Linked DNA regions of Elephas maximus indicus. Each later gene encodes a partner of the first gene's protein in a complex. Links are inferred from orthologs where the notes say so. Each region holds a gene or a part of one and is shown in the gene's direction. Other genes may lie near its edges.

Region 1 (7,518 bases):
GTGACTATACATGTGGACCTCACCAGGTGGAATACACAGGAATCAAATCACTACATCTGTGGAAAGAGACAATGAAGAAACTCAGTATCATCAGTCGGAACAAGGCCAGGGGCTGACTGTGGAACAGACCATCAGTTGCTCATATCAAGTTTAAGTTGAAACTGAAGAAAGTTAAAACAAGTCCACAAGAGCCAAAGTATGACTTTGACTTTGGGTACATCCCATCTGAATTTAGAGACCACCTCAAGAATAGATTTGACGCGTTGAACGCTAATAACTGAAGACCAGACGAGTTGTAGGATGGCATCAAGGACACCCTATAGGAAGAAAGCAAAAGGTCATTAAAAAGACAGGAAAGAAAGAAAGATCAAAATGGATATCAGAACAGACACTGAAACTTGCTCTTGAATGTAGAGCAGCTAAAGTGAATGGAAGAAATGATGAAGTAAAAGAGCTGGATGGAAGATTTCAAAGGGTGGCTTGAGAGGGCAAAGTAAAGTATTACGATGAAATGTGCAAAGACCTGGAGTTAGAAAACCAAAAGGGAAGAACATGCTTGGCATTTTTCAAGCTGAAAGAACTGAAGAAAAAATTCAAGCCTCGAGTTGCAATATTGAAGGGTTCTACAGGGAAATATTAAATGATGCAGGAAACATCAAAAGATGATGGAAGCATCAAAAGAATACACAGGTTTACTGTATCAAAAAGAATCGGTCAACGTTCAGCCATTTCAGGAGGTAGCATATGATCCAGAACCGATGGAATTAAAGGAAGAAGTCCAAGCTGCACTGAAGCACTGGAGAAAAACAGCTCCATGAACTGAGGGAATACCAATTGAGATGTTTCAACAAATGGATACAACGCTGGAAGCGCTCACTCATCTACGCGAAGAAATCTGGAAGACAGCTACCTGGCCAACTGACTGCAAGAGATCCATAGTTGTGTCCATTCCAAAGAAATGTGATCCAATGAATGTGGAAATTATTGAACAGTAGCATTAATACTGCACACAAGTAAAATTTTGCTGAAGATCATTCAAAAGCAGTTGCAGCACTACATCGACAGGAAGCTGCCAGAAATTCAAGCCAGATTCAGAAGAGGACGTGGAATGAAGGATATCATTGCTGATGTCAGACGGATTCTGGTCGAAAGCAGAGAATACCAGAAAGACGTTTACTTGTGTTTTATTGGCTATACAAAGGCATTTGACTGTGTGGATCATAACAAATTATGGATAACATTGGGAAGAATGGGAATTCCAGAACATTTAACTGTGCTCTTGAGGAACCTGTACTTAGACCAAGAGGCAGTCGTTCGAACAGAACAAGGGGACACTGGTTGGTTTAAAAATCAGGAAAGGTGTGTGTCAGGGTTGTATCCTTTCACCAGACCTATTCAATCTGTATGCTGAGCAGATAATCCGAGAAGCTGGACTATACGAAGAAAATGTGGCATCATTATTGGAGGAAAACTCATTAATAACCTGCGATGTGCAGATGACACAACCTTACTTGCTGAAAGTGAAGAGGACTTGAAGCACTTACTGATGAAGATCAAAGACTATATAGCCTTCAGTATGGATTACACTTCAACATATAGAAAACAAAAATCCTCACAACTGGACCAATAAGCAACATCATGATAAATGGAGGAAATATCGAAGTTGCCAAGGATTTAATTTTCCTTGGATCCACAATCAATGCCCATGGAAGCAGCAGTTAAGAAATTAAAGGATGTATTGCATTGGGTAAATCTGCTGCAGAAGACTTCTTTAAAATGTTAAAAAGCAAAGATGTCACTTTGAGGTCTAAGGTGGGCCTGACCCAGCCATGGTATTTTCAATCACTTCATATGCATGCAAAAGCTGGACGATAAATAAGGAAGATGGAAGAAGAATTGATGCCTTTGAATTACATCATTGGCAAAGAATATTGAATATACCATGGACTGCCAGAACAATGAACAAATCTACCTTGGAAGAAGTATAGCCAGAGTGCTGCTTAGAAGCAAGAATGGCGAGACTTTGTCTCATGTACTTTGGACATTTTATCCGGAGGGGCCAGTCCCTGGAGAAGAACATCATGCTTGGTAAAGTAGAGGGTCAGCGAAAAAGAGGAAGACCCTCAACGAGATGGATTGACACAGTGACTGCAACGATGGGCTCAAACATAGCAAGGATTGTGAGGATGGCACAAGACCAGGCAGTGTTTTGTTCTGTTGTATATAGTAGGGTCGCTATGAGTCGGAACCAACTCAATGGCACCTAACAATAGCAACACTTTGGGTCCAATGTGATTAAAATGCACAAGTAATAGTTTTACAATATTAAGAGCTCTCTTTTAAAAATGACTGGGTATTTCTAGTCAAAAATCTATTTGTTTAAAACCTGACCATCCCAGCTTTTGTTTCACTTTGTTTTTGGTCATTAAGTCCTGTTACCTAGCTGCAATCATCCACAAGAACCAGGATGGGGAGTGGATTGTGAGTGAGGAGCCTCGCCGCTCTAATCCATGGCCAAATTAAGTAGATGGCACTGCTGTTTCTTGAATGATACCATGGCTTTCTCAGCCTGGCCTTAGGAATTGGAGCCAAGTTAATGGGGGTGGATGGGTGGCTCTCTAGTGACTGGTAATTATTGTAAGGCAGAATTTCTCTAAAATGGGACAGGGTACCTTTGGGAGTGTCTGACCTCATGGGGTCCATGCCTCGGACAGGTGTTAGGGGATGGCTGAGGGCTGGACAGTGTTTGCTGGTGCTTAGTTTTTTCCCAGCTGGTTAACTTTCAGGAAGACAGGCAGGTCGGAAAGAGCAAAGACGCGAAAAGGAGTGCTTTGGGGCTCCCCTGGCTGGCTGCTCAGTGACATGCAGGATTACCTTAGACTGGGAGCAGCCCCTTGGTTTTGAGCTGGCTTCCCCGCTGGCTTCCCTTCCCCCTTGCAGCTGGCCACACTGGGCTGATTCAACATCTCCATCTACAGTGTGGTTTAAAAATGATCCGGGGGATGCAGGGGACTCTGGGCACCCTGTCCTTGAGGCCTGGGAATGAACGAAGAGAATCTCCCCAGACTATTGCCTTGGGCCGGCACTTGAAGTCCCCGTAGCTTGGGTTGTGGCTGCTGCCCCAAGAGGTCTTGCTCTGGGGGCTCTCAGCTGATGGGGCACCACTCTAATGATTTTCCAGAGGCACGGAGACACTGGGGGCAGGTGAATGCTGGCCCCATGAGGCAGGTGCTCAATCAAAACAGGAGGGGCAGTGCTAGAGAGGTAACCTCTTTTCCCTGGGTGTTGTTGATTTCCCAGGTCAGGCAGATGCGGGTGCCTGGCAGCAGGTGGGACGCCCAGAGTGTCTGGCCATGTCTGGTCAAGGGAGTGAGGGTGCCGGCCCTTCATTGGCCCTTCTGGCGATTCTGCCCGCCACGAAACTTTTGTGTTCCTAAAGCAGCTTCCAGACCCAGCTCCTTGCTGCCACCCAGACTAAAGACGATCATTTAATATTCCTGTCTTGCTCCCGAGGGCTTTGGCCTCTAGCTCCACCTTTACTAACCTAGCGCGGATGCAACGGCGCCTTCCCGCTCCGCGACAGGTGTCGCTTCTGAGCGGAAGTTTTGGGCACAGAGGACGCAGAACTGCACTACCCGAGGGGTTTGGATGTGTTTCACCTGGACCCAGACAGAGGGGGACGATTTGGAGGCGGCACGTGGGCGGTGGGGCGGGGTGCTGTGGGGTGAGGGAGGAGCCGGCCTGCACGGATTTTTCTGGAGGATTCAGGTCTACTGCCTCCAGAACTTCCCTTCCCCAATGAGGGACACGTTTTTCTTCTAATCTTCTCTCAAAAGGGGGTCAGAAGCGTGCCGAGGCCGAGCGGGGTGCGGGGCTGCCAGGGTCCAGGTCCATGTGAGTGGCGTAGGGAAACTCCCTGCACGATGCCCTGAAAACCCCGCCTCCGCGCCACTGGGGACCTGGGGCCGAGAGCCTCCTCTGGCGGGGGTGGCGGCGGCTGGCCCTGTCCGGGTGCAATGGACAGTGTCCCCGCCTCCCCTCGGGCCTGGGCTCGCCTTGGTCACAGCTGCCCGCTCGGCCGTCGGGTCCTTCGGCGCGCGGGCGCCTCGACGGCTCCCCCTGCCGGAGCGCCCTGTCCCCACCCTCCACCCGGCGGCTCAGGACTAGTCCCCTCAACTTGGTCTCTGCTGTTAACTAGTCGCGCTGCCGGAACGATGGGATGGGGTTGCCACAGCAACCAGACTGGACGTCACAATCCGGGCATGTGTGCCGCCCCCCCGCCGTGCCGCCGTGCCGCCGGCGCTGCCGCCGCCACCCCTCGGCAGGCTGCTGCGGGACTGGGCTGCGGAGCGCGGTGGGCGGAGCAGCCCGGGTTTTGCGGGGAGCACGGTTCAGGCGGCCGCGAGGAAGGGGGGTCGGGACGGGGGGGTGGAGGTCTGGGGGGGTGGGGGGCAGGCGGCCGCCATCTTCTCGCCGAGGCCGCCTCGCCCGCCGCGCGCGCCCGTCCGGTAGCGCACGGGTTAAGGCTGGCACGGCGCCCGGCGGGAGGGGGGGCGCCCACCTCCCCTCCCCCCCGCGCCGGGCATGCGGGGCCCGCTGGGCACCGAGGAGGAGCTGCCGCGGATGTTCGCGGCGGAGATGGAGAACGAGGACGAGATGTCAGGTGAGCGGCGCCGGCTGCGCCTGGGGCGCCAGGGCGGGGGGCGCAGGGACGGGCCTTGGCCGGACCGCGCAGGCAACCGGCCCGGGCTTCGCCGCGCGGGAGGGGCCCGGGCTGCGGGCTGCGCTCCCGCCCTGCCGGCGCCGCGCGGCCAAGGGCGCGGGGTTGGGCGAGCGGGGCGCGGCGCGCGGGCTCAGGGCGGGTGCGACCCGGGCACTGGGCGGGGGCGGCGGGCGGGCGGGCCGGGGGCTCGGGCGGGGGCCTGCCAGGGACGCGTTCGGCTGGGAGGGGCCCGGTGCGCCAGGGTCAGCCCGGTGCCCTTGAAGGGGGCGGGCAGCGCGCTCCGCTCCTGGAGCCCGCCCCCCGTGCTCATGTCCCGGTGCCCCGCGCCTCGGGGCCCCAGGGCGTGCTGGGTGGGGCCGGAGCACGGCGGGCACAGGCCGTGCTTGGGGACCCGTCGAGCGCCCGGGCTGAGCGGCTTCCCTTTGGGCCCACGAGGGCTCCAGGCAGGGGCGCGCGGCCTCAGGGTCCCGCTCCTCTTCCCCAGCCGCTGTGGGTGCCGCTCCCCGAGCACTTTGCCCGGGTTGCCGGCGCCCTCCTGGCGCGCCGTAGAGCCAGCCGCTGTCTGCAACCCCAGGGCGCCCAGGGTAGTGGCGTTCACAGCCCACCGCGCTTTGGCCACAGGCCTGACGGGCACGCCAGGGGCACCGCCCCTGCCCTGCAGTCTCTCAGAATTCACCCTAATTATATCTTACTAAAGTCAGGGGCTTACCTGCAGGATGTCTTTAGTTAACTGCTTGCGGCTTGTTTGAGACATTTGCCTCCTGGCACATCTGGGCTGCGCCTTACCCTTCAGCCACCTTCCATGCCTGCCCTCTTTGGGGGGCTGCATTACTTCCCAGCGTCTCAGCACGAAGTCTAGGTCCCTCATTGACTTCGAGAAACCCAAGGGTCTTGCCCTGGCCCGGAAATGTGCTGGCCAGGAGCATCTTCCCCAGGGGAAAGAATGCTCCATCAATTAAAAAAAAAAAACAAAAACGTTGCTGCGGAGTCACTTCTGACTCATAGGGACCCTATAGGACAGAGTAGAACTGACCCACAGAGTTTCCAAGGATCTCCTGGTGGACTCGAACTGCCAGCCTCCTGGTTAGCAGACTTAGCTCTTAACCACCATGCCACCAGGGTTTCCAAAAATGGACACCCCAATTCCTGAAGACAGAGCAGTGACACCCCAGGCTGCCCAACATCTGCCCAGTGAGGGGCTTCTTGCCCTGGCCATAACCCCTGAGGCCCCTTCCCCCCCCACACTTTGGCACCCCACTTGTGCTTGGTGGTTTGCTCAGTGGCTTTAAAGGTGGGACCGGGGCTCCTATGGCAACCTGGCCTAACTCTATCCTTCAGACATTTAGGCCAGGTTTGTGAAGAGTCTGTTGGGTTGAGGGGAGTAGGAGTACGATGGCTCCCGAGGGTTGCTTGGACAATAGTTGACTATTGCATCCTGGGTTGATGGAATCACGCCCATTGCCTGGAGAGGCACATGGAGGCCCCAGCCCAGGCAAGGATACTGAGGCCGTTGTCCACCCCAAGGCTGGCTTTTTGGGAGCAGTAAGTAGCTCATGGTGGTGTTTGTTGCACGGCCACTTTGTGGTGCTGGTGGGGCAACGGACAGCTGAACATGTCTTTACAGGTTACATGTGTTACCGTTTCTGGAGCTTCACTGACACCTCCCCACGGAGTCCCCTGCCTGCTTTCGCGTCACCTCCTGTGGCTGTCAGGGTCCATATTCCTGATTGTCAGGGTGCAGAGTTTGAGAAGGGAAGGAGTCCAAGGAAGGTGCCCCAAACTGTGGGCTTCCAGCTCACGGCTTGGGCCCAAGTCTGCCACCATCATCCAGCCTCTTCCTCCTTCCTGTGCCCTTGGGTGCCAGACCTGGGCAGGATGAGTGGGGGGCATCCCCAGAGCCTCCAGGAATGCCCCCGAAGCTCTGTGGAGGAGCAGTCCTGCTCTGACACCTCAGACCTGGGAGTTCCAGCCCAACCCAACAGCAAGACTAGATGTGCCGCCTTCTGAATATGCCCTGAGTCTTCTCACTTTCCCAGCTTCTCTCCACCTTCTTGGTCCAGGCCACTCTCTGGCTGTAAAAATGGCATGGCGGAGGTGTCTGACCTCCTCTAACTTCACAAGAGGGGAGGAGAATCAAGATCAGTAGCCCAAGGCTGATTGCTATGAGGCAAAGGTCAGACATACCTTCTCTGCAGCCTTTTTACCAATTCTGACACCAGCCATCCCTCCCCTAGCACCCTCTGCTGGGTTTGATAATTTGTTGCAATGGCCACACAGAACTCACAATACTCACTATTTTGGTGTTTATTTGGGAAATAACAGGTTATAATTCAGGTTCAGGAATGCGTAGGATACAGTTCTTTGATCAGGATAGCCTCTGCTCAGGTGTGCCACAGGGAGGCCTCTCTCTGACCCTGGGCCACTTGGGCCCTTGGGTCTCTTGGGCCAACCTGGCCTCTGCCCTGCTCAGGCAAGTATTACAAAGCTCTCTTAGCTCTGCTGATAAGTGCCTGGAGGTATCCTACTCTGCCAGTAAGCCTCGTGCCCGAAGGCTCTCAGCTCTCTCACCCTGTGGGTTGGCACACCCACTATAACTGCCTTGCGCTGTGGGCCAGGAAGCCCACTGTGCTGTCTTTTGCCAGTCTCCTGCTTCTGCTGCTGCTGTTTTTCTGCCGTTGCTTCTCACTGTCTCTTGCTGTCTCCGGTGTTACTGTTCTCTGTTTCTGTCTCCTGTGTCTAGGCGGTTTTCAGTGCAGGGATTGTGGTTCCAAAAGATGTGTTCCATGCCTAGCTCT
Region 2 (7,190 bases), on another chromosome or scaffold:
GTGCTGATACATGCTACGACATGGATGAACCTTGAAAACATGCTGGGTGAAAGCCATTCACAAAAGGCCACATATTATATGATTCCATTGGTATGAAATATCTAGAATGGGCAAACCCATGGAGACAAAGTAGATCAATGATTGCATAGGGCTGGGGGAAGGGAGGATCAGGAGTGACTGCTAACCAATGCAGAGTTTCTTTTTGGGGTGATGAGAATGAAAGGGGCAATGGTTGCCCAATTGTGAATATACTAAAAAACACTGGACTGTACACTTCCAAATGGTGAATTTCATGCTATGTGGATTATATCAATTAAAAAAAAAAAAGGAAAAATATTTGTTGAATTATGGCCAGGATCTAAAGTGAGGGACTATGCATTGTGGTCAAAATACAACAACAACTCAAGTGAATACCCCAGAGTTTTGTAGAAGGTACAGGGCAGGCTGCTGAGAGCTGCTTTCTTGCCCTCAAGGAAACAGAGGCCAAGTCAAACAGCTAAAAGGTGGTACGGCCAGCACTAGTACCCACGTCTCTCTGCCTTGTGAGCCCTCTGCTTGTAGCTTCTAGCCCTGCTCTGTCCAACATGGAGGCACAAACCATTGTAGCTACTGAGCGCTGGAAACAAGGCTAGCCTGAATTAAGATGTGCTGTAAGTGTAAAATTTTGTAGACTAAGTACAATTAAAAAAAAAAAAATCTTAATTATTTCCTTATATTGATTACATGTTGAAATCACACTATTTTGGATATTGGGTTACATAAAATATGTCGTTAAAAAATAATTTCCCCAGGTTTGTACTTTCTAAAACATGACTACCACAAAATTTAAAATTATATATGTGGCTGGCATAATATTTCTGTGGGACAGTAGCGTGTACTCTGGAGTACTGGTCCCTGGGGACAGTACAGAAGGGGGTGACTGTAAGTTATTCATGGAATAAAATTTCACTTAGCAACCTTTGGTGGGCTAGCCTACAGCTGATCACAGGATGCTTTTTTTTTTTTTTATGTATTACTATAACATACCTAAACCAAACCCACTGCCATCGAGTCAATTCCAACTCATGTCAACCCTACAGGACAGAGTGGAACTGCCCCATAGGGTTTCCAAGGAGCAGCTGGTGGATTTGAACTGCCAACCTTCTGGTTAGCAGCTGAGCTCTTAACCACTGTGCCGCCAGGGCTCCATAACATAACATACCTAGGCAATCCTTTATTGTTGGATACTTACGTAGCTTTCTTTTTTCTTCTTTGAACATGTTGTCAGGGACAGCCTCATCAGTTAGGAATTGCACTCAGGTAAAAACCTGGTTACAGTGGCTTAAACACATAGGGTTATTCTCTTCTGTAAAGGAACTCCAGATGTGGGCAGCTCTATGAAGTCTCTACTTTTCTACTCCACCATCTTTAGCGCATGTCTTCCATCCTCAGGGTTATAAGATGGCTGCTAGAGTTCCAAATGTTATGACAGAATTTCCACGCAAGAAGCAGAAGTAACGCCAAATTGATTGTTTCAAATGTTACTAAATAGATTGGGTGCCATTTGTTAATAGCCAAACACAAAGTTTAGTAAAACCTTTCTAATTATTCGTTGGTTCTATTTAAAAAAACCATCTCTACAGGCGAGGCGGTTCTGACTCATAGCAACCCTATAGGACAGAGTAGAGCCACCCCCACAGGGTATCCAAGGAGTAGCTGGTGCATTCGAACTGCCGACCTGACCTTTTGGTTTGCAGCTGAGCTCTTAATCACTGTACCACAGGGCTCCAGTTCTGTCTTACCAAACCAAAAAAACAGACCCACTGCTGTTCAATGTCCAGCCTGGACATGGCGACCCCACTTGTCTTGCCAGTGGGTTCTAAAAAAAATCCACTTTGTGATAGACCAAATTTTACCCTCGACGTATAAGCAGTAAGTAGTATCTCGGCACCAACAACATGTAAACCACCAACAGTCAATCCCAATGGGAAAAAGAAGACATACCACTTCCATTGCTTATGGCAGCATTCAATAGGGTGTACAGAAGATAATCAAAAAGTGGGTTGAGTTGAATTGATGTCACTCCAGATGAAGGAAAATCTAATTTATGTCCAGAAAGGAATAATAATCAGTTGCCATTGAGTCAATTCCAACTCATGGTGCCCCTCGTATGTCAGAGTAGAACTGTTACACTTAGGATTTTCAATGGCAGATTTTTCAGAAGTAGACCGTAAAGCCTTTCTTCTGAGGCGCGTCTGGGTAGACTCAAAGCTCCAGCCTTTTGGTTAGCAGCCTATGGCAGTAACTGTTTGCACCAGCCCCTCGGGACTCCAGAAAAGGAATGAAGCAGGCACCATTCTGTTGCCCTATTTCTAGATGGCCTTCCATGATTTCCACTATGAAATAGGTGCTGTCTTGACCTCTACTCCCCACTAGGATGTGTGCTCCATGGACTAGTTGGGTTTGGTTACTGTGACGTTTTCCAAGAGTACTCCTTGGGTGCTGGTTTCGGGGCAAGGGTGTCACCTGCACCATTAGTCGTAGAGGGAGGGAAGAAGGGAAAGACTGGGTGGGTATCCCTTCTTTCTTCGGTGGAGAGGTCACTGAGATCCAGCAATGACGTCTAAATGTGAGTTACTAAACCAGCAAACCAAGGCAAGAAAAAAAGTGCGCCTCCTGTTTATTTTGGAAAGCTTTACTATGTAGCCAAAATCCAAGAAATAGCCCCCCCCAAAGGTGATTCATCAAATCCGAAATGCATTTTATGATTATGTCTCTGATCAGAGAATGGGCTTGGGTGGGGTCGGAGGAGGGTGGAAATTTGTGAGTAGAAACTTCGCCAAGGTCATTCTTGGCTCCCTAGTGCCTAGGAAGGTGCCTGCCATAGAGCTGGTGCTGCTTAAATATTTGGATGCGTTAGTATTCAAAATTAGGTGGATGCCAGGGTGAACTGTCCCGAGGAGAAGGCCTTTGGCGTTTGTCAGAGCCTTAAGGAGTCATAGGCCCCCACAAAAAGGTTAAAAACCACCTAATACACAGACAAGAAGTTTATTTAAAATCAGTGTCAAGAACTGGTTATTCTCATCATGGGTAAGAGCCAGCACTCGGTATCTGGAAAGATCTCCGTGCTTAAAAGCCCCAGTCGCCACCATTTTCTCCAGGTAATTTTCCATCCCTGCCCCCACAGCCAAAAAAAAAAAAGGGGGGGGGGGAGAAGTCATTCTTAAATTCTACCTAGCTATTAAAAAAAAAAAAAATTAAGCGGTAGATTAACGTCCTCCCCTCCCCGCGTCGCCGGAAACGAAGGCAGAAGAAAGGGGCCTCGCGCGACCGGCCGCCCCCAGCCCCCCGCCCCCCAAACTTTGCCAAGTTGCGGCGCCGGGCGCCGGGCGCGCGCGGAGGCGCGGGGCGCGGCCGGCGGGCGGAGCCCTGACGCCGGGGGCGCGGGCGCTGGGCCGCCCCCTCCCGGCCCGGGCCACCGCCGGCTCCGCACAAAGTTTGCGGCCGCCCCTGCGCCCGCCGATGTATGGGTGATCGACTGCGGCGGGCGGCAGGGTGAGGGACGGCCATATTTGCCGGTGCGCCCGCGCGTCCACAACAAAAAGTGCGCGGGAGCCCGGCGGGCGGACGGACGGGCGCACGGCCCCGCCGCGGAGCCGCCTCGCCGCCCCCGGCCCGCCGCCCCGGCGCGGCCCCCGTGGGGGGATGTCGTACAAGCCGAACTTGAACGCGCACATGCCCGCCGCCGCCCTCAACGCGGGTGAGTGAGCGCCCGGTCGCGCGCCGCGCCAAGTGCCGCCAAGTTGGGCCCCGCGCGCCCGGCCGGCCAGGGGCTCCCGGGGGCCTCGCGGCGTGGCCGGGGCGCCGGGCACCGGGTCCGGCCCGTGGCAGAGCCGCCGCCGCCGCCGCCATGATTCCGGCGCCGCGCGCCAAACTTCGCCGCGTGCCTCGTTCCCCCCGGGCCTGCTCGTGGCCGGGCCGGGGGTCGGGGCGCTGGCAGCCGCGGAGCCCCCACGCCGCGGCCGGGGGATCCGGGGACGGAGCGTGCGGGCCGGGAGGGAGGGAGGCTTTTCTTGCTCCTTTTTCCTCCGGCGGCTTTTGGGCGGCTCGGCGAGGGCCCCTGCCGGCGGGAGGCGGCAGCGCGCGGGCGCCGCGGGGCGCGGGCGCCTGGGGCGCGGGGCAGGCCCGTGGGGGGCGCCAGGCTGCGGGGCTTCACCCGGGCAATGCTGGGCCCAGGCGGGAACGCCGGGTTTGCCAGGCTGCGGCCGCCCCTGGGGGCGCGGGGCCGGGTAGACGGGCCCGGAGGCACTGGCCTGGCCGGGGACTTAAAGGGTAAAGGGGGTCCGGCCTGGCGCGCGGAAACGGGGGGCGCCCAGAACGGGACTTGCGGGAGACCACCTCTTGCGCGCGCAGAGTCAAAGTAGTTGGGGAAGACCCGCGGCTTCTGGGTGTCTTGGGCGGTGGGTGAGGGCGGCATTTCAGGGGCCCAGATCTCGGAGCCCCTAAGTCTGTCATGGAAGGCCCCCCTTCTGCAGAAATCGGGAGGTACGCATCTCCCCTCCCTGGAGGGCAGGGGGTCTCGGAAACTCTTCCAGAAGTTATCAGGCAACCTTCCTTAGGCTGTGCCCAGGGGGTGGGGTACCTGGGAGACCGAGGGCGCCGTCGGGGAGGGGAGGTAAAATTGTTGGGGTTGTGGGGTGATTGGCTTTGTCTCCTCACCAGGGACCTTTAGACACTTGATTGGAAGCATGCGTCCAAAAAAGCGGGGCGCCTTGGTTGGGGGAGAGGGCCAAGGGCCTTGCCCTGGGGTGGGGGGGGAGGGTTGGCTCTGCTCGCCAATATGCCAAGCTGGCAGCTTGCCCCGAGTTTCCGGCCTGGCCTCCAGACGTTGACTCCATAACTACAAAAATTCTAAAGGGACCTATAAGATTTAAAGAAAACAAAAAAACTTCTTGGACACTGAGGTTTTGGGGTTGGGAAAGGGTTAAGATTAAGGTTGCAGATTGGGGTGATCTGAATTGCTCAGATGTGGGCTGTGAGCCGCCGAGAGCAAACAGCCCCCGTTTTCTCACATGCCCTCACCTCCCGTGGGTCCGCAGGCCTTCCTGAGACAGGCTTTGTTGCCTAGGTAGGATGTCTTCTGCTTCCATCTCTCTGGGGGTGGGCAGGGCGGAGGGTGGTGCCAGCCTGGACAGGCGGGAATTCTCAGGCTGCCCTGGTGTAGTTGAGGCAGGGGCCCCACACTGGGGTCCTGAGGGATTGGGGTCACTGAGGGTAACAGGGACACCCACTGAGGACCCCTGCAGCCCTGTTCGGGACTAGCTGGCACCTGTAAACAGTCTTTCTTCTATCTCCTATGGTGCATTCCAAGAGGAGTGCTGTCCCCAAATCGCTGTTTTCTTTTGGGGGGCCTACATGCCCCCTGCGGACCCCTTTGCAAAAAGCCCTGTCTCCCCATTTGCATCCAAGATGGACTCTCCGCGCCCCTCCTCCCGGCTTCCCTGTCATCATCCCTCACGCCCTGCAGCCCAGCCTCCTGCTCGTGGGTGGGTTGCCAAGCCGTGGCCTGGCCGGCGGTGGCGGAGTTAGACAAAGCCCCCACGTCCCCGCTGGAGAGGCCCCCCCTCCCCGGGGCGCCCCGAGAGGCGGGAAGGCCGCCAGCTCCCCAGGCCCGGGCCGGCTCTTTGTCTGGCGTGGGGGCGGGGAGCTCCGGCCCCAGGAGCTTCCTGGCCTCCTGCTCCTGCACACTGGCTCATTGTCTGATGCTCCTCCGCGGAGGGAGACGCTGCGCTGACGTGGAGTCTGCTTCTCTTGGTGGCCTCCCTCCGCCGACCCAATGGCCCTCCCTGTGTCTGCGGGAAGGAGTGGCCAGGAGAGGAACTCGGGGGCCCTTTCTCCAACTCTTTCCAGGGCCAGAGACACCCCCTCCAGCACTGAAGAAGGGACTGACAGTGGCATAGGATGGGGGTCACACACTATGCTGCTGGGGTGACAGGACAGTCAAGCCCTGAGCTACTGCCTGACTGCCCCACTCCCACCAAAATGGGGCAGTTTCTCACTCCTACTCCCTTTCCCCTTGGCCCCCAAGACCTGACTCCAGTGCCATCAAACAGCAGGGTCTAGAGCCTTTAGTTGTTCTACTGGAAACCATTGCCTCAAATAGCTGGGGAAACTGAGGCCCAGAGAGGGAAGGATGTTGTCTAAGGTCACACAGCCAGGAGTGGCCCTTGCCCATAGGAGAGAAGACAGGGCAGGGGGAGAAAAGACAAGGAGGTGGGGTGGAGCAGAGGCCACAGGGAGGTTCCGGATCTCCTCCTGCCTGGAGCTAGTGTCTTCTAGAGGCCTTGAAGAGTTGGGCCACTCACTCTCCCCAGGTTAGCACTTAGCATCCATACCTTCCTGAGCCCAGGGAGGGACCATAACTTGTGTGGGGCAGGATTAGAACTCAGGTCTGGGTGCACAAAGCCTGTGTTTCCCAAGCCATACTCACCACCCCCTGCCTTCCAGTCCCCTGGAAGGCTCAGGAAGTTGGGGCTTAGCTGATGTGGTGGGGGGGGCGGGGCTGGAGGGGGCACTGGCCCTGTCCCAGGCTGGGCTCTGGCCACTGAACACCTGCCCTTGCCTTGGAGTGCTTCCCTGATGTGAGTAGCACTTACAGGTGTGTTGTCATCCCTACCTTGTAGACAGGGAAACTGAGGCTCCAAGCAGCCCAATAATTGGCCCTTGACCAGCTTGGGGGTGGCACAGTCGGGATTCAAATCACGTTTCTGGGTGGCCTCCCAAGCTTCAGCATAAACATGGGACTGAGTAGGGGCAGCTGGGCAGGCCTGGGACCTGAGAGGGTATCAAGTGCAGAGCTGCTCCAGACTCCTGGACAGGAAGGTGGGCATCAGTGGAGCTTCTGTGCTGCGTCACCGGGGCGGTCTCTGGCCCAGATCTGTGTCTCCCTCCCTCTACCGTGAGGGTCCCTGATCCAGGGTTCCCAGGGGCCCCTTCCCGCTCCCTGTGCCTGAGCTCCTGAAGTTACTTCCGCCCGGCCCCTCCCCTTGCCCATCCCAGTCGAGCAGCTGGTCGCTTTGGCCGGCCTTGGCACCAGCTGTCCATCCCGGGGCCAGGTCTGTGAGGCTGCTGTGTGTGTGAGAGGGACCGTTTGGCTCTAGGGGTGGCGGGAGGGGAGCTGCTCCCCATGGGGCGTGGAGTCAGGCAGGCGG
Region 3 (6,371 bases), on another chromosome or scaffold:
ATGCGAATTATCAGCAGGCATTCAAACCACAATGAACCAACTTGATGTTGACCTTGATCACCTGGTTGAGGGAGTGGTGGTCAAGTTCCTCCAAGGTAAAGTTATTGTCTTAGTTCTCTAGTGCTGCTATAACAGAAATAACACAAGTGGATGGCTTTAACAAATGGAAATTTATTCTCTCACAGTCTAGTAGCCTAGAAGCTCAAATTCAGGGTGACAGCTCCAGGGTGAAGCTTTTTCTCTCTGTTGGCTCTGTGGAAAGGTCCTTGTTTTAAATCTTCCCCTGGTCTAGGCGTTTCTCAGAGTGCAGGGACCCCAGGTCCAAAGGACATGCTCCCCTCCTCGTTCTTCATTCTTGGTGGCATGAGGTTCCCTCCTCTCTGTGCTCTCTTCTCTCTTGTATATCTCCAAAGAGATCAACTACAACCTAATTTTACAGATTGAGTCCTGACTCATTAACATAACTGCCTCTAATCCTGCCTCATTAGCATCAAACAGGTAGGATTTACAACACACAGGAAAAGCAGATCAGATGACAAAATGGCAGACAATCACACAGTACTGGGAATCATGGCCTGGCCAAGGTGACACACATTTTTGGCCGGCACAATTCGATCCGTAACAGTTAAGTTTTTTCTCTCCCTTTCCATTCTGTACTCTTTGGAAGAAGGTCACTATGCACAGCTCACATGTAAGGAGGGAGAAGTTATTCTCTGTCTTAGTCTGGGTTCTCTAGAAGAGCAAAACCAGTGAGGCAGACATAGATATATATAGAGAGAAACTGACTTCAAGAAAATGGGTCACACAACTGTGCGGGTTGGCAAGTCCCAAATCAGCGGGTCAGGTGGCAGGCTGAAGGCTTCTCGAACCAGAGACCTGGAGGTCAAGCGACCAGATGAGAAGAGTACAGGATCAAAAAACACCAAGCTTTGCCAGAACATCCATTTACATACTGGAGGCAGGTCCCACTCCCAAGAAAACTGCCTTTTCAACTGATTGGCTACTCACATCGGATCACAAAATGTAAGATGATTAAAGAAAAAAAACCCAAACCTGTTGCCATCAATTCCGGCTCATAGCGACCCTGTAGGACGGAGTAGAACTGCCCCATAGTTTCCAAGGAGCCCCTGGTGGATTTGAACTGCTGACCTTTTGGTTAGCAGCTATAGCACTTAACCACTACGCCACCGGGGTTTCCCATGATTACATAGTGTTTGCCAAACCACTGAGAATCATAGCCTAGCCAACTGGACACATAGCATTAGCTATCACACGCTCCTGGAGAGCAGCATCTCTACGTAAATTATTTCGAATTATTTCTACAGGTGATTTCTCTATTCTCTCCCATTTGTTTATTTATATCACTATGGACTCACGGGTGTTTATTTTATACTTTGGGTTATAAGGAAATATTAAGTAGATGGAAAGACCCTTGAAGAAGTTTCATGCACAGATGACGTTACGGAAACACCGTATGCAGGTATCTCTGCTTCCTTATACGCTTGCCACCCAGGTTCTTCTCTTGCCCCTACTGTTATCTCGGCTGCCCTTGCCTGCTTTCCAATGAACCCTCCAGGGAAAAACTGACCTGCTGTTCCCCTATTACCTGTGCTTTCACAGTGCCACACCTTCGCGTGTACCAGTCCCTCCACCTGGGAAAAAGGGGTAGTAATGGAGGAGGGTCAGTGTGAGTCAGAATCGACTCAACAGCAACAGGTTTTGTTTAATGGAGGAGGAGGTCTGAGATCTAGGGTCATGAGAAATGAGATTTGATGGGTACGGGAATGAAAAGGCTTTGAGGTACTGGAGTGAGACAGGGACAAGAGAAATGAAACAAATAAGCACTTCACATACATCCATTTAATCCACACAACATAACCCTATGAGATAGTTATTTTACAGACGGGGAAACTGAGCCATACTAAGATGAGATGGGTGGTGTTGAGATTTGAACCCAGGCAGTCTGACTCCAGGCTGTGCTCTTGTCTGTGATCCTTTAGTACAGGCATCACGTGCACCAAGTATTCAACCAAGGTCAGCTGTTACTGCTGTTGTCGTTATCTGTAGCAGAGGTGTGGGGTGTCTTGGGTGCAGGTTGAGAGGTCTGTGAGGTTGCCCTGGGATCCAACACCAGCCTTGAACCTGTTGTTGTTGTTAGGTGCTGTCAAGTCAGTTCCGACTCATACCCGAGCCAAACCAAACCCATTGCTGTCGAGTCGATTCCGACTCACAGCGACCCCATAGAACAGAGTAGAACTGTCCCACAGAGTTTCCAAGAACCGCCTCGTGGATTCGAACTGCTGACCTAATCAGCAGACATAGCTCTTAACCACTACCCACAGACTCATAGCAACCCTAAATAAAACAGAAGAAAACACTGCCTGGTCCTGTGCCATCCTCACAATCGCTGGTATGCTTGAGCCCACTGCTGCAGCCACTGTGTCAATCCATCTTGTTGTCTTCCTCTTTTTCACTGACCTTCTACCTTACCAAGCATGATGTCCTTCTCCAGGGACGGATCCCTCCTGATAACACGTCCAAAGTATGTGAGACATAGCCTCACCATTCTTGCTTCCAAGGAGCATTCTGGCTGTACCTCTTCTAAGACAGGTTTGTTCGTTCTTTTGGCAATGCGTGGTATACTCATTGTTCTTCGCCAACACCACAATTCAAAGGCGTCAATTCTTCGGTCTTCCTTACTCATTGTCCAGCTTTGACATCCATATGAGACGACTGAAAATACTATGGCTTGAGTCAGGCGCACCTTAGTCTACAAGGTGACATCTTTGCTTTTAAACACTTTAAAGAGGTCCTTTGCAGCAGATTTGCCCAATGCAGTCCCTCTTTTGATTTCTTGACTGCTGCTTCCATGGGTGTTGATTGCGGATCCAAGTAAAATGAAATCCTTGGGAACCCCAATCTTTTCTCCATTCTTCATGATGCTGCTTATTGGCCCAGTTGTGAGGATTTTCCCTTTCTTTACGTCGAGATGAAATCCATACTGAAGGCTGTGGTCTTTGATCTTCATCAGTAAGCACTTCCAGTCCTCTTCACTTTCAGCAAGGCTGTGTCATCTGCATAACGCAGGTTGTTAATGAGTCTCCCTCCAATCCTTGAACTGAGGACCTGCCAATCCAGAGAAAAAGGCTTGGGTGGTGGCGTCGGAAGCTGGACCCGTTGCCATGGGAACGAACGAAGGCTTTAGGCAGCCGCATGCGCAAATCGGAGAGAGGTTATTGAACCGGGAAAAGGTGACGTAAAAGCGCACAGGGTGGGGCGCAGGGCTCGGAACGTCAAAGCCCTGAGTCCTTCGGCGTCCGGAGAGGGGGACAGGCGCGCTTGGCGGCGGCGACCGCGGCGACAGCAGACCCAGCCGAACCGAGACTGGGCCGAGGTCCGGGCGGCCCGAAGCTGACGCGCGAAGCAGCGCTAGTAAGGCGCAAGTAAGGCGCCGAGAAGACCCCTCTGCGCGATCCGCGGCGGCCCAAACCCAGATCCAGGTTCCGAGGCCCCGCCCCGGGAACCCTGGGACTAATCGGATTGAGAGCGCGCCGGCCCGGGCCGCGAACTCGCCAATTGTGGAGGGCCTCTGCCGCCACCCAATCCGGAACAGACAGGTGCGAGGTCCGGAAGACAGAGGCCAATCAACAGCGGTTGCGGCCTGCTGGGGCGGGTCTCGGCCAGTGAGGAGGTTTGAATGACATTTCGGCCTGCCAATCGGGAGTGAGAGAGCCTTCGAGCCCGCCCGCCCTTCCGGCCAGCGCTCTATTTACCAGGGGCGTGCAGCCCGCTTGCCAATCAGCGCGCAGCTGAGCGGCCAGCAGCCAACCCCGGAGCAGCGGCCGGCCGGCGTCCGCCCGCACCCGAGAGTCGGGGATGTCCTACAAGCCCATCGCCCCCGCCCCCAGCAGCACCCCCGGCTCCAGTACCCCTGGGCCCGGCACCCCGGTCCCTACAGGTGAGGACCCAGCTCCACCCCTGCTCGCCTCCCCGGGCGCTCGAGGTCTCCAAGAGAAGACGGCCTGAGTTCTGCAATACCGGGCCTGCCGCCTACCCTCCTGGAGCCTCAGTTTCCTGGCCTGCGAAGTGGGCGTGGTGACGTAAGGGCTTGTAGGTGGGGCGCAGGGGGTGGGGTTTGTCCCTGAAGTTGACCAGCCTGGAATGAAGCATCCTTTTGGAGGGAATCGGAAACACTCGGCCCGGGGCTTGGAACGTTGGGAGGAGGCGTCCCTGCCCCGTGCTGACCTCTTCCTCGCGCCCGTTGCAGCCGGAAGCGTCCCGTCGCCGTCGGGCTCGGTGCCGGGAGCCGCTGCCCCTTTCAGGCCACTGTTCAACGACTTTGGACCTCCCTCCATGGGCTATGTGCAGGTGAGTGGGACGGCCAGCTTGCTTAGGGATGAGGGCTGGTAGCCCACCCGGGGCCTGAGCTCACTGCCCTGTTCTCTTTGGCTTAGGCAATGAAGCCACCGGGCGCCCAGGGCTCCCAGAGTACCTACACAGACCTGCTGTCGGTCATTGAGGAGATGGGCAAAGAGATCCGGCCCACCTATGCTGGAAGCAAGAGTGCCATGGAGCGCCTGAAGAGAGGTAAGCAAGCTCAGGCGCACCCTGCCCTGACGCCGAACAACCTCTTAGGGAAGGAAGGCCATCTGGAGGCCACCTGAGTGGAGCCTAGACCTCGAGCCAGTGTCACTATCCAGAGAGGGGTTTTGAATTAAATTTAAATCGAGACCATTTCCAGGGAGGGGACTGGGTGTTGGCATTTTAACAAGGAAAATTTGGGGTTTAGCCAAGCCTCCCATCTCATCCAGTCTCTTACTGAAAGGAGGCGCCCTGGTGGCACAGTGGTTAAGACCTTGGCTGCTAACCAAAGGTTTGCCTCTTTGAATCCACCAGCTGCTCCTTGGAAACCTAATGGGGCAGTTCTACTCTGTCCTATAGGGTTGCTATGAGTCGGAATCAACTCCACGGCAACAGGTTTGGTTTTGTTTTGTTTTTTTTAACTGAGAGGAAGGAGCCCTGGTTGCACAATGGCTAACTATTCTGCTAATAACCAAAAGGCTGGTGGTCCGAACCCACTAAGTTTTTCTGTGGAAGAAAGATCTAGTGATCTGTTTCCATAAAGATCACAACCTAGAACATTTCTTTGAGGCAGTTCTACTGTGTCACATGGGGTCACTATGTGTCAGAATTGACTGGAGGGCGCTCAACAACAATAACTACAGACGGGAAGAGGGTGGAGGGGCAGGATCTTCCTCTGGAGGTTGGGGTGGGCTCTGGAGGGTTGCTGAGACCCCGTATGTTACTCCCCCACCCCTCCCCACCCCAGGCATCATCCATGCACGGGCCCTAGTCAGAGAGTGCCTGGCTGAGACAGAGCGAAACGCCCGCACGTAACAGGAAGCGCCTGCACCTCAGCGTCCGGACCCTTCCAGCCACTGCAGAGCACCAGCTTCTCCCTGGCCTTCACCCCGAGTTGCACTCCCCATCCTGGGCCTCCTGTCCTGTGTCCCTTGGTGGGTGCCCTCCAGGAACCAGGGGCAAATCCCACTCCGATCAGCAGCACTAACTGAGGCCCCGTGCAATAGTTAGCAGCAGGGTCACTATGAGACCCACCCATGACCTACCAATAGTGTTGATCCAGCTGGAACGTTCTCCTTTCTGGGGCCTCCACCACTCAGCACTTATCCAGCACTGCTGACCACTTTGTGTCCCATCCCCTTGTCCCCCAGCAGGTCTCGGAAGGCCTGTCACCTCCCTGCCTTGTTTCCTGGGCCATAGCAACTCTTTTCTCAGTGTGTCTTTTGCTAAATATGCCCTTTTTGTATAAAATAAAGATGATTTGAAGTTGTTCTCTCAGCTTTGAGCCTTTCTGGGTCTGGTTCCTCTGCCAAGCCTGGGTGGGCCAGACAAGGAGGGGAAGGGATGGGGCGGGGAGGTGGAGTGAGATGGGGCAGAGACCGACTGAACCTGGCCTGGCCTTGCTTCTGCTGCCCATTGTCCCTTGGATGGGCCCCAGCTCAGGCTCTTGGCCTTCCAGTTGTAGGTGGTGGAAGGGGTTGCAGGAGTTGAGAGCCCTGCACCCCTTCGTGTGGTGCCACGAGGGGGCAGCACAGGGCCTTGGCTGCCCGTACAGCTAGCGGGCACTGCTGCTAGCCTGGGCCTACAGGGCTCTTCTTTGGATTACAAGTAGTGCCTGGCCGGGTGGCCGGTTCACTTCTGCCATTCCCTCATATGCCTTAATGCCCTAACAACATCCTCCACTCTGAATCTGCCCTGGGAGGCTCTGAGTACACCCCAGCCCCGACTCCTTAGAGGAGAGGGGCACTCTCCACTGCCCAGCACTGTTTTCCTGGCAAACAGGGTCAAGG
Region 4 (7,097 bases), on another chromosome or scaffold:
GTGATTCTGGTCTAGGTCATTTCCTTTATTCACTGTCACCAATGAGGACCTTGTGTTGCTTAACATAAGTAGCTAGCACAACATCGTACGTTGGTCTTTTTGAATCCAGACAGACACCCCACGAAGGTTAAATATTAACACATTTATAAGTATAAAACAATTACTTCAGTTTACCTAATAAAAATATAATACCAAATGAAAACAAAGTACAAGCTCAAACAAGTACAGTATGTTTTCTATTATAATAATTTTCCTTTAACTCCCTCACACAATTAAACAATATTTTAAGAAAATTACCTAGAATTCTATCACACTAAGATAATTCTTTTCATTTGTCTGCATTACTCTTCTACCATTTAGTCAAATATTTTTTCCTAAAATGTGTGGGGTGTTGTTCTTTTTTTTTTTCCTGTTTACAGGAGTAATGTTGTCTACTGGAGAAATTTTTAAAATAGAGCAATATATGAAAAATAAAATAACCATTATCCATATTACCGGTACCAGGAGACGATGGCTATTAATATTTTAGCGTATTTTCTTTAGCTCCTGATGATTTGGATGAAAACAATATGACCAGAAACAAAATTGGTATTTGTTACATTCCTCTTTTGCACGTTAAATTTTCAGATTTTTTTGTAATGAGATTTGCTTTTGTAATAAGAAAAACAAGCAATAAAGGAATGTATAAGAAAGCGGGATCTCTGTATGTCTTGTTCATCCATGTGCCCCAGTTCCCAGCACACTGCTTGTGTTGGGAAAAATATTTGTGAATGGCTAAGATTTTCACAAAAAACTAGTGAGACGGGGTTGCTAATGAGAAATAATGGGTATTATTTCTCTCGCTCCCTCTCTTTTTCCTTTTAGCAAACAGTTCATTCTAGAACATACAATCAGTTCTCAATAAGCTTGTTGTCTTTATTTAAGACTGACTGGATTCCAATTTCAACTCCAACACTCAGTAGCTATGTGACCTTGGCCAGAAATTTCAGACTCTCAGACTCCCCCATCAGCTTCCTCAGCTGCACAGCGCTGGTTCAGGTGCTGGGGATTTAACAAAACAAAGGCCACACCCTCACATTTACATTCTAGGGTAGGGGAGATAGCCTAGAACAAACCTCTGTCAGGTGGTGATAACTGCTATGAAAAAAATAAAATAGAGGAATGGGGCTACAGAGTGAGCATGGGTGGGGCCAGGTGGGGAGTGTTGCTATTTTATAAAAGGTGGTCAGAGAAAGCTAAAGATTTCAAAAATATACCTAGTGTTTTTGTGCACTTCAAGTTGAGACTGATTACGATCATGAAATCAATTGAGGGTGATCTGCATATTTAAAAAAAAAAGAAAATATAAAACCCCAGAGCAAATCACAGTTTGGTGTATAACTTGTTTCAGTTTATGTACACGTGTAGTTCTCCGTGGAACACCGTTGGGGCGGCCTGGAGAAAGTGGTAGTTAACACTTAGCAATTTTGAGGCAAGGGCTCTCTGAAGTAAGACCCTCCTCACCTTGTGTGTGCACCTGCTTCTGTTTTAATTAACAGCTCTAGCTGAGTACCAAAGAGACAAAAACACTACCACAGTAACAGCGGGAGAAAAGATCAGGATCAGGGCAAAGTGGCTGGGGAGAAAGGCAAAACAAAAATGAACAGTCCAGCAATTCAAAAGAGAAAATTGGTATCACATTTTTTGTGCTAAAAGTACCTGATGGGAAAAATATTAAAAAGAGAGAGAGAGAAATGAATTGACACATCCAATTTAACAACACAAACAAAAAACCCCCCAGCAAAATCCAAAGCTAACAACTATGTCGTGCATACTTCCCGATTAAACTTACGACTACTGCCTGCGCTGACTTGACGGCAACTAACAACAACTGGGTGAATATTTTCAGAAACTTCTAACTTATTGGTTCCATAGTCCCTTCTCTGACCCTCGGTGAGGTAGGCAGTATAAAGATTTTAAAGCCCTATCATCTGGGAAGATTTCTTGTCTTTCAACCCTGTAAACATTTAATTAAAAAAAAAAGGTTTGGGAAATCATGCCTACCCATTAGAAATGAGTAAGTTATTTTAATGGGAGACTGGAAATCTCTGCCAAGCCTTTTCTTGCTGTACAGACGAGAAGGTTCGCATTGAGGCAGTAATACCCAATTATTCCAGAGCAAAGTCAGCGAGCCAAAGCTAACCCGCCGCCTGTTTTTGTATGGCCAGGAACTATGAATATTTTTAAGCGATTGGGGAACAACAAAACGAAAGAAGAATATTTTGTGACGTGAAAACTTTATAAAATTCAAATGTCAGTGTCTATAAAGTTTTATTGGAATAGCCAGGTTCATTCGCATTGTTTATGGCTGCTTTAGTGCAACAACAACGGCAGAGCTGAGTAAACCAAAAAACAAAAAACCAAACTCACTGCCATGGAGTGGATTCGGACTCAGAGCGAGTCTATAGGACGGGGTAGAACTGCCCTATAGGATTTCCAAGGAGTGCTTGGTGGATTCGAACTGCCGACCTTCTGGTTAGCAGCCGAACTGTTAACCACTATGGCAACAGGGTTTACAAACCAAAATACCAAACGCCTTGCGGTCGAGTCGATGGCGACTCATATATAAATGCCTGCAATGCCTAAAATGTTTACTATCGGGCCCTTTGGAGACAAAGTTCGCCGGATCTGGGTTCTAGAATGTGAGGGCTGTACTGCTTAAAGTACCTTCCAATCCTCTTCCCTCTCCAGCCATCACCTCAGGCAAGAAAAGATTCCTGTGCCTGACGCGGACAGAGGGCGATTTATTAATGAATTGTATAGTCAACCCAAAACACCGGACAGTAAATTTCTATATAAGGTAACAGGAGTGGCTCTGCCACCGACTTGAGTGATTTCTGGGTTTCTTCTACGATCACAAAATTGAGCATCACCCCAGCACTTGCACTGTCTCATGCGAGCGTCGCCGCGGTCACCCGCGTGAAGGCATTTGGAAAGTTGTCAAGGCAACCAGTGCTCCGAAGATACTCTTGAAGGGGGACTGCAGTTCTCTTTGCCTGTCAGTCCCTCAGCCGCCTCCCCCACCCGGCCCCTCGACTTCGGCTTCGGGCCCTGATTTTCGCCTCTAGCTTCCCCTTTCGGCTTTCCAGCCCGCGTTCTCATCCCCACACAGTCCTCGGACTACCAAATTCCCGCGTCGGGATTCAGGGGAGCTGGGCCAGCTCATTCCAGCTCTCCCGGTTCCAGCCGGTTGAGGTGAGGTCGCCCCGGGACCCCTGCAGGCAAGAAAAGTGGCTCGGCAGGGTGCGGGGCTGGGCCCGAGGCCCCTGCAGTGCAAGGAGGCCGCACTTAAAGACTTAAACGTGCAAACAAACGAACACTTTATTCCAGTCGGCCTTGGCTCCTTTGGCACCGTTTCGGCTGCCTGTGTCATCGCAGGCCGCACGTTCAGCCTAACAGGGCGGCCTGGCGGCCCTGCAGTCAGAAAACGCCCGGGGCCTCTCCCAAAGGCCCCTTCGACGCCCACAAAGCCCACCGCAGCCCGCCTGGGTCCGCCGCCGGCTCCAGGAAAGGCCAGGCCCTGCTGAAGGGGAGCCTTTCGGGGTGCACAGAATTGCAAGGGGATGACTACTGGGGAGGTTTTTGAGAGTGCACTAATTTCTCGAGAACAGAAAACACTCCCTAAGACTACGACCCTGAGTCTCTGAATTCCTCTTTCCCTCGGGCCTTGGCTTCGCTAAGGTCCTCAAGCTCCCTGCCCCCCTCTCCCGCCTCCCGCCTCCCCGCCCCCCCCAGCCGCCGCTTCAAACAACCACGCCCCGCGGCCCCAGGGCTCGCTGCCCCAAGGCTCACAGCCCCCGCGCAGCCCGGCACGCCGCGCCTCCATTCGCCCTGCCCCCTCGCCCCCATCCGCCCCCGCGGCCGGCCCTGGGAGTGCCGGGCGAGGCCTGGCGCCTGCGCCTCGCCAACTTCCTGCCGCGGAGCGCCCCGCCCACCCCCAGAAGCCTGCCCCCGAACGCCGCGCGAGACCCGCCCGCCTCACGCCATTGGTCGAGACGGAGGAGCCGTTGGCTCCCAGGACCGCCTCTCCGCCGCCTCTCACTTTTCCCAGAGCGGGTGCGCCTGCGCTCAGCTGCCTGGGCGGGCTGAGAGGCGCGGGTTGAAAAGTCTCGTTCCAAGTTTGGAGAGAGAGAGAAGAGCGCCTCAGACCTCGGTACCTGCGAGCGTGAGGAGGCAGGAAAGAAGAACGCGGCGTCTGGGGAGGACCCAGGCGGCAGGCCGGAGCTCAGGCTTCGAGAGCTCGAAGTGCGTGACGCGCCTGGGAAAGGCAGGAGCGTCTGCGGTCGAGCTGCACTTGGCTAGTGAGGGGAGTCCGAGGCGGCGGCGAGGGGCGAACGACCCGACGCAAGATGGCGAGTAAAGAGAGTAAGAGGCCCTGCGGGGCGGCGCGCGCCGGGCTGCGGGGGGCGGCGGGCGAGCCAGGCCGCGGCACGCGCCGGTGAAAGGCGCGAATCGGCGTGCGGAGCGGGGGCGGGGCCGGCGCGAGGTGGGGCGCGCGCCTCGAGGGGCCTGCGCGGGACGGGCCGCAGCGCTGAGGGCGCCGAGCACTTCCGGAGCCGGGCGCGGGGCCCAGGGGTGGGCCCCCGGCCGAGGCGCTCCCTCCGGCGTCCTCGGCGCGGGAACGGCGGCTCGCTCCACGCGCGCGCGGCGGCCGCCTCGGGTCGCGGCCCTGGTCGGCGGGCTTCGGGAGCGGGCGGGCCTATGGCTGTCCACGCGGGCGTCGTGGGAGCGGGGCCTAGCGGGGCGGGGGCCGGAGGGCAGGGGCTGATGGTTGTCCGTTCCGTGTGCATTTGTCTGTCCGAGCGGATCGGGATCCGGGTCGTCCTTTTTACACAGGTGCGAGCAGCTGTAAGAGACCGAACAATCTCTAAGGTCAGCGGCAGTTTGATGGCCGTGTAATTACCGAGATCTGTGGACGCAGGAGATACTGATCTCACAGTGCGAAAAATAAGCTGCTTGGTGTTAATATTTTCCCCACGTTCCGGAGGAGCAGTTTGTTGTTCGTGTCCAAATTCGAGAGAGGGGGGAAAGAGTAGGTTAGGTGTGGCCATCTCGGGGCGACCTCCAGTCGCTGGGTGCAGATTCTGAGTGTCGTCTCTCAGCTTAATCCTGTGGGCTTTCTCCAAATTGCAGTGTTCGAAGATACTGTGGAGGAGCGTGTCATCAATGAAGAATATAAAATCTGGAAGAAGAATACACCGTTTCTGTATGACCTGGTTATGACCCATGCTCTTCAGTGGCCGAGTCTTACGGTTCAGTGGCTTCCTGAAGTGACTAAGTAAGGGTTTCTGGCAACTTTTATTCTGCATAAATTTAACTGTCCTCATGAATTTCCTAGTTTTGGCGTTTTACACACAGAACATAAGAGGTAATGAATTGGCCCTTGAATGAGGTGATAGGTTGTGTTTTCAAAATTGAAGTGATTTATGGGATAATTTCTGATGTATAAATGTGCCATTGAAAAGGGAGAAAGAATCTGTTGACATTAATAATGTTTATAGGAAACACAAGGCATTTGACATTTCTTGGGTTTATATAGAGAGCAGTATCTGGGCCTCAGACTAGTGCATTTCTGTAAAATTTTATTGAAAAATGGCATATGTACAGAAAAAGCACACAGATTGGAAGCATATGGCTTGATAAATTTTTACAAAGTGAACACACCATGTAACCGGCACTCAAGACAAATACCTTTTAATTGGCAAAGGAAAAAAGAATTTGGCAACAGTCCACCAAAGAAAGGGTGTTGTTACTGGCTTATAGTGTGAAATACACTTTGAGATTGCTATTAGTCTTCATAAGAGTGGTCGTTTCAGCTAGTTCTTATATTTGTCTGAGTAATAATTGCTGATAGGGAGCCCTGGTGAGCAGTGGTTAAAGCACTCAGCTGCTAACCGGAAGGTCGACGGTTCAAGCCCACCAGCCTTTCCTAGGGAGAAAGACGTGGTAATCTGCTTCTGTAAAGATTATAGCGTTAGAAACCCTTTGGTGCAGTTCTCCACTGTCCTACAGGGTTGCTATGAGTCGGAATCCACTCGACGGCAAGTGGTATCGGTAATAATTGCTGACACTTACTGAGCACCTAGAACAGGGCCTGTCGCATCTGAAGAGTTTTATGTCCTATTATTTGGTGTAATCCTCACAGCAATACTATGATATAGGCACTTTTTATCGTCTCCGTTTGCTGATCAGAAAACTGAGGCTGAGCGCTTAAGTGATACGTCCGAGATCATGCAGCTGGTAAGTGCCGGAGTAGATGTAAAAACTCAGAAGACTGGCTGGCTCCAGAGTTCAGGCAGCCCCTGCGCTAGACACCCTCACTCAACCCCATTTCTGTCAGGAACGTGGCTATGTACATATTTTTAAAATTGTATTGGCTTTGGATATTGTGAGCATATAATTCAGTGAACATCTAATCAAATTCTAACCTAGAAAGAAGATTTTTGAAAGGTTATGATTTTATCTAAAATTAATTTACTTCTATAAGAACTACATTTCCCATATGCAAACATTGAGCTCCACACAGGTAGGGGCATCCATCGGTGCTCCTGAAAATCTGAGTGTAAATGTACAGATAAGGGAAGAGTAGCCACGAACCAAATAATAGAGACTTCTAAACGTTGGCAGTTGTAGCTGCCTTTGAACAGATTTTTAAAATAGAGTGACCATCATATACTTTAAAGATACGCAGGTGCTGGATTGGAGCATCCTGTGAATTTGACTCTCTCTATCTTCCTGTTAAGCAAATTTAAAACTTTTCAGCAACTTACTTCCTCTTGAATTTCTTGACTTACTCTAACATAATAGGAGAAAACAGGGGCTTTAAGGCCAGAGATCTGGGTTCAAATCCTGCCCCTGCTTCCAGGTAGCCTTGTGGCCTGGGCCAAGTTGTTAGTTTGTAATCCCTACCTGCCCAAGGTGTCTGTGAGTGGAGATGCCAATAGTGCCGACTGCCTGCACTGGAGGTAAAGCCTCTGGCACAAACTAGGTGGTAACTGTTAAATGTTACCTGTAATGTGTTTTGCTTATATTTTTTTTTAGCAATAATCTGTGTGTTC

What was found.
Region 2: CHD5 (region 1) and CDK2AP1 share a complex: the UniProt entries of both Homo sapiens proteins name them as parts of the nucleosome remodeling and deacetylase (NuRD) repressor complex. The link is inferred for Elephas maximus indicus from reciprocal best matches to the Homo sapiens genes CHD5 and CDK2AP1.
Region 3: CHD5 (region 1) and CDK2AP2 share a complex: the UniProt entries of both Homo sapiens proteins name them as parts of the nucleosome remodeling and deacetylase (NuRD) repressor complex. The link is inferred for Elephas maximus indicus from reciprocal best matches to the Homo sapiens genes CHD5 and CDK2AP2.
Region 4: CHD5 (region 1) and RBBP7 share a complex: the UniProt entries of both Homo sapiens proteins name them as parts of the nucleosome remodeling and deacetylase (NuRD) repressor complex. The link is inferred for Elephas maximus indicus from reciprocal best matches to the Homo sapiens genes CHD5 and RBBP7.

The regions. Positions count from the first base shown.
Region 1 is NC_064821.1:45,356,221-45,363,738, reverse strand, and holds the start of CHD5 (chromodomain-helicase-DNA-binding protein 5), read left to right. Parts: upstream 1-4,500; 5' UTR 4,501-4,584; coding exon 4,585-4,663; intron 4,664-7,518. UniProt on the Homo sapiens protein: ATP-dependent chromatin-remodeling factor that binds DNA through histones and regulates gene transcription. May specifically recognize and bind trimethylated 'Lys-27' (H3K27me3) and non-methylated 'Lys-4' of histone H3.
Region 2 is NC_064840.1:6,984,420-6,991,609, forward strand, and holds the start of CDK2AP1 (cyclin-dependent kinase 2-associated protein 1), read left to right. Parts: upstream 1-4,185; 5' UTR 4,186-4,202; coding exon 4,203-4,311; intron 4,312-7,190. UniProt on the Homo sapiens protein: Inhibitor of cyclin-dependent kinase CDK2. Also acts as a component of the histone deacetylase NuRD complex which participates in the remodeling of chromatin.
Region 3 is NC_064825.1:130,539,538-130,545,908, reverse strand, and holds CDK2AP2 (cyclin-dependent kinase 2-associated protein 2), read left to right. Parts: upstream 1-4,125; 5' UTR 4,126-4,161; coding exon 4,162-4,368; intron 4,369-4,454; coding exon 4,455-4,587; intron 4,588-4,896; coding exon of another isoform or gene 4,897-4,952; exon of another isoform or gene 4,953-4,977; intron 4,978-5,329; coding exon 5,330-5,397; 3' UTR 5,398-5,859; downstream 5,860-6,371. UniProt on the Homo sapiens protein: Acts as a component of the histone deacetylase NuRD complex which participates in the remodeling of chromatin.
Region 4 is NC_064846.1:162,733,792-162,740,888, forward strand, and holds the start of RBBP7 (histone-binding protein RBBP7), read left to right. Parts: upstream 1-4,079; 5' UTR 4,080-4,388; coding exon 4,389-4,404; intron 4,405-5,172; coding exon 5,173-5,317; intron 5,318-7,097. UniProt on the Homo sapiens protein: Core histone-binding subunit that may target chromatin remodeling factors, histone acetyltransferases and histone deacetylases to their histone substrates in a manner that is regulated by nucleosomal DNA.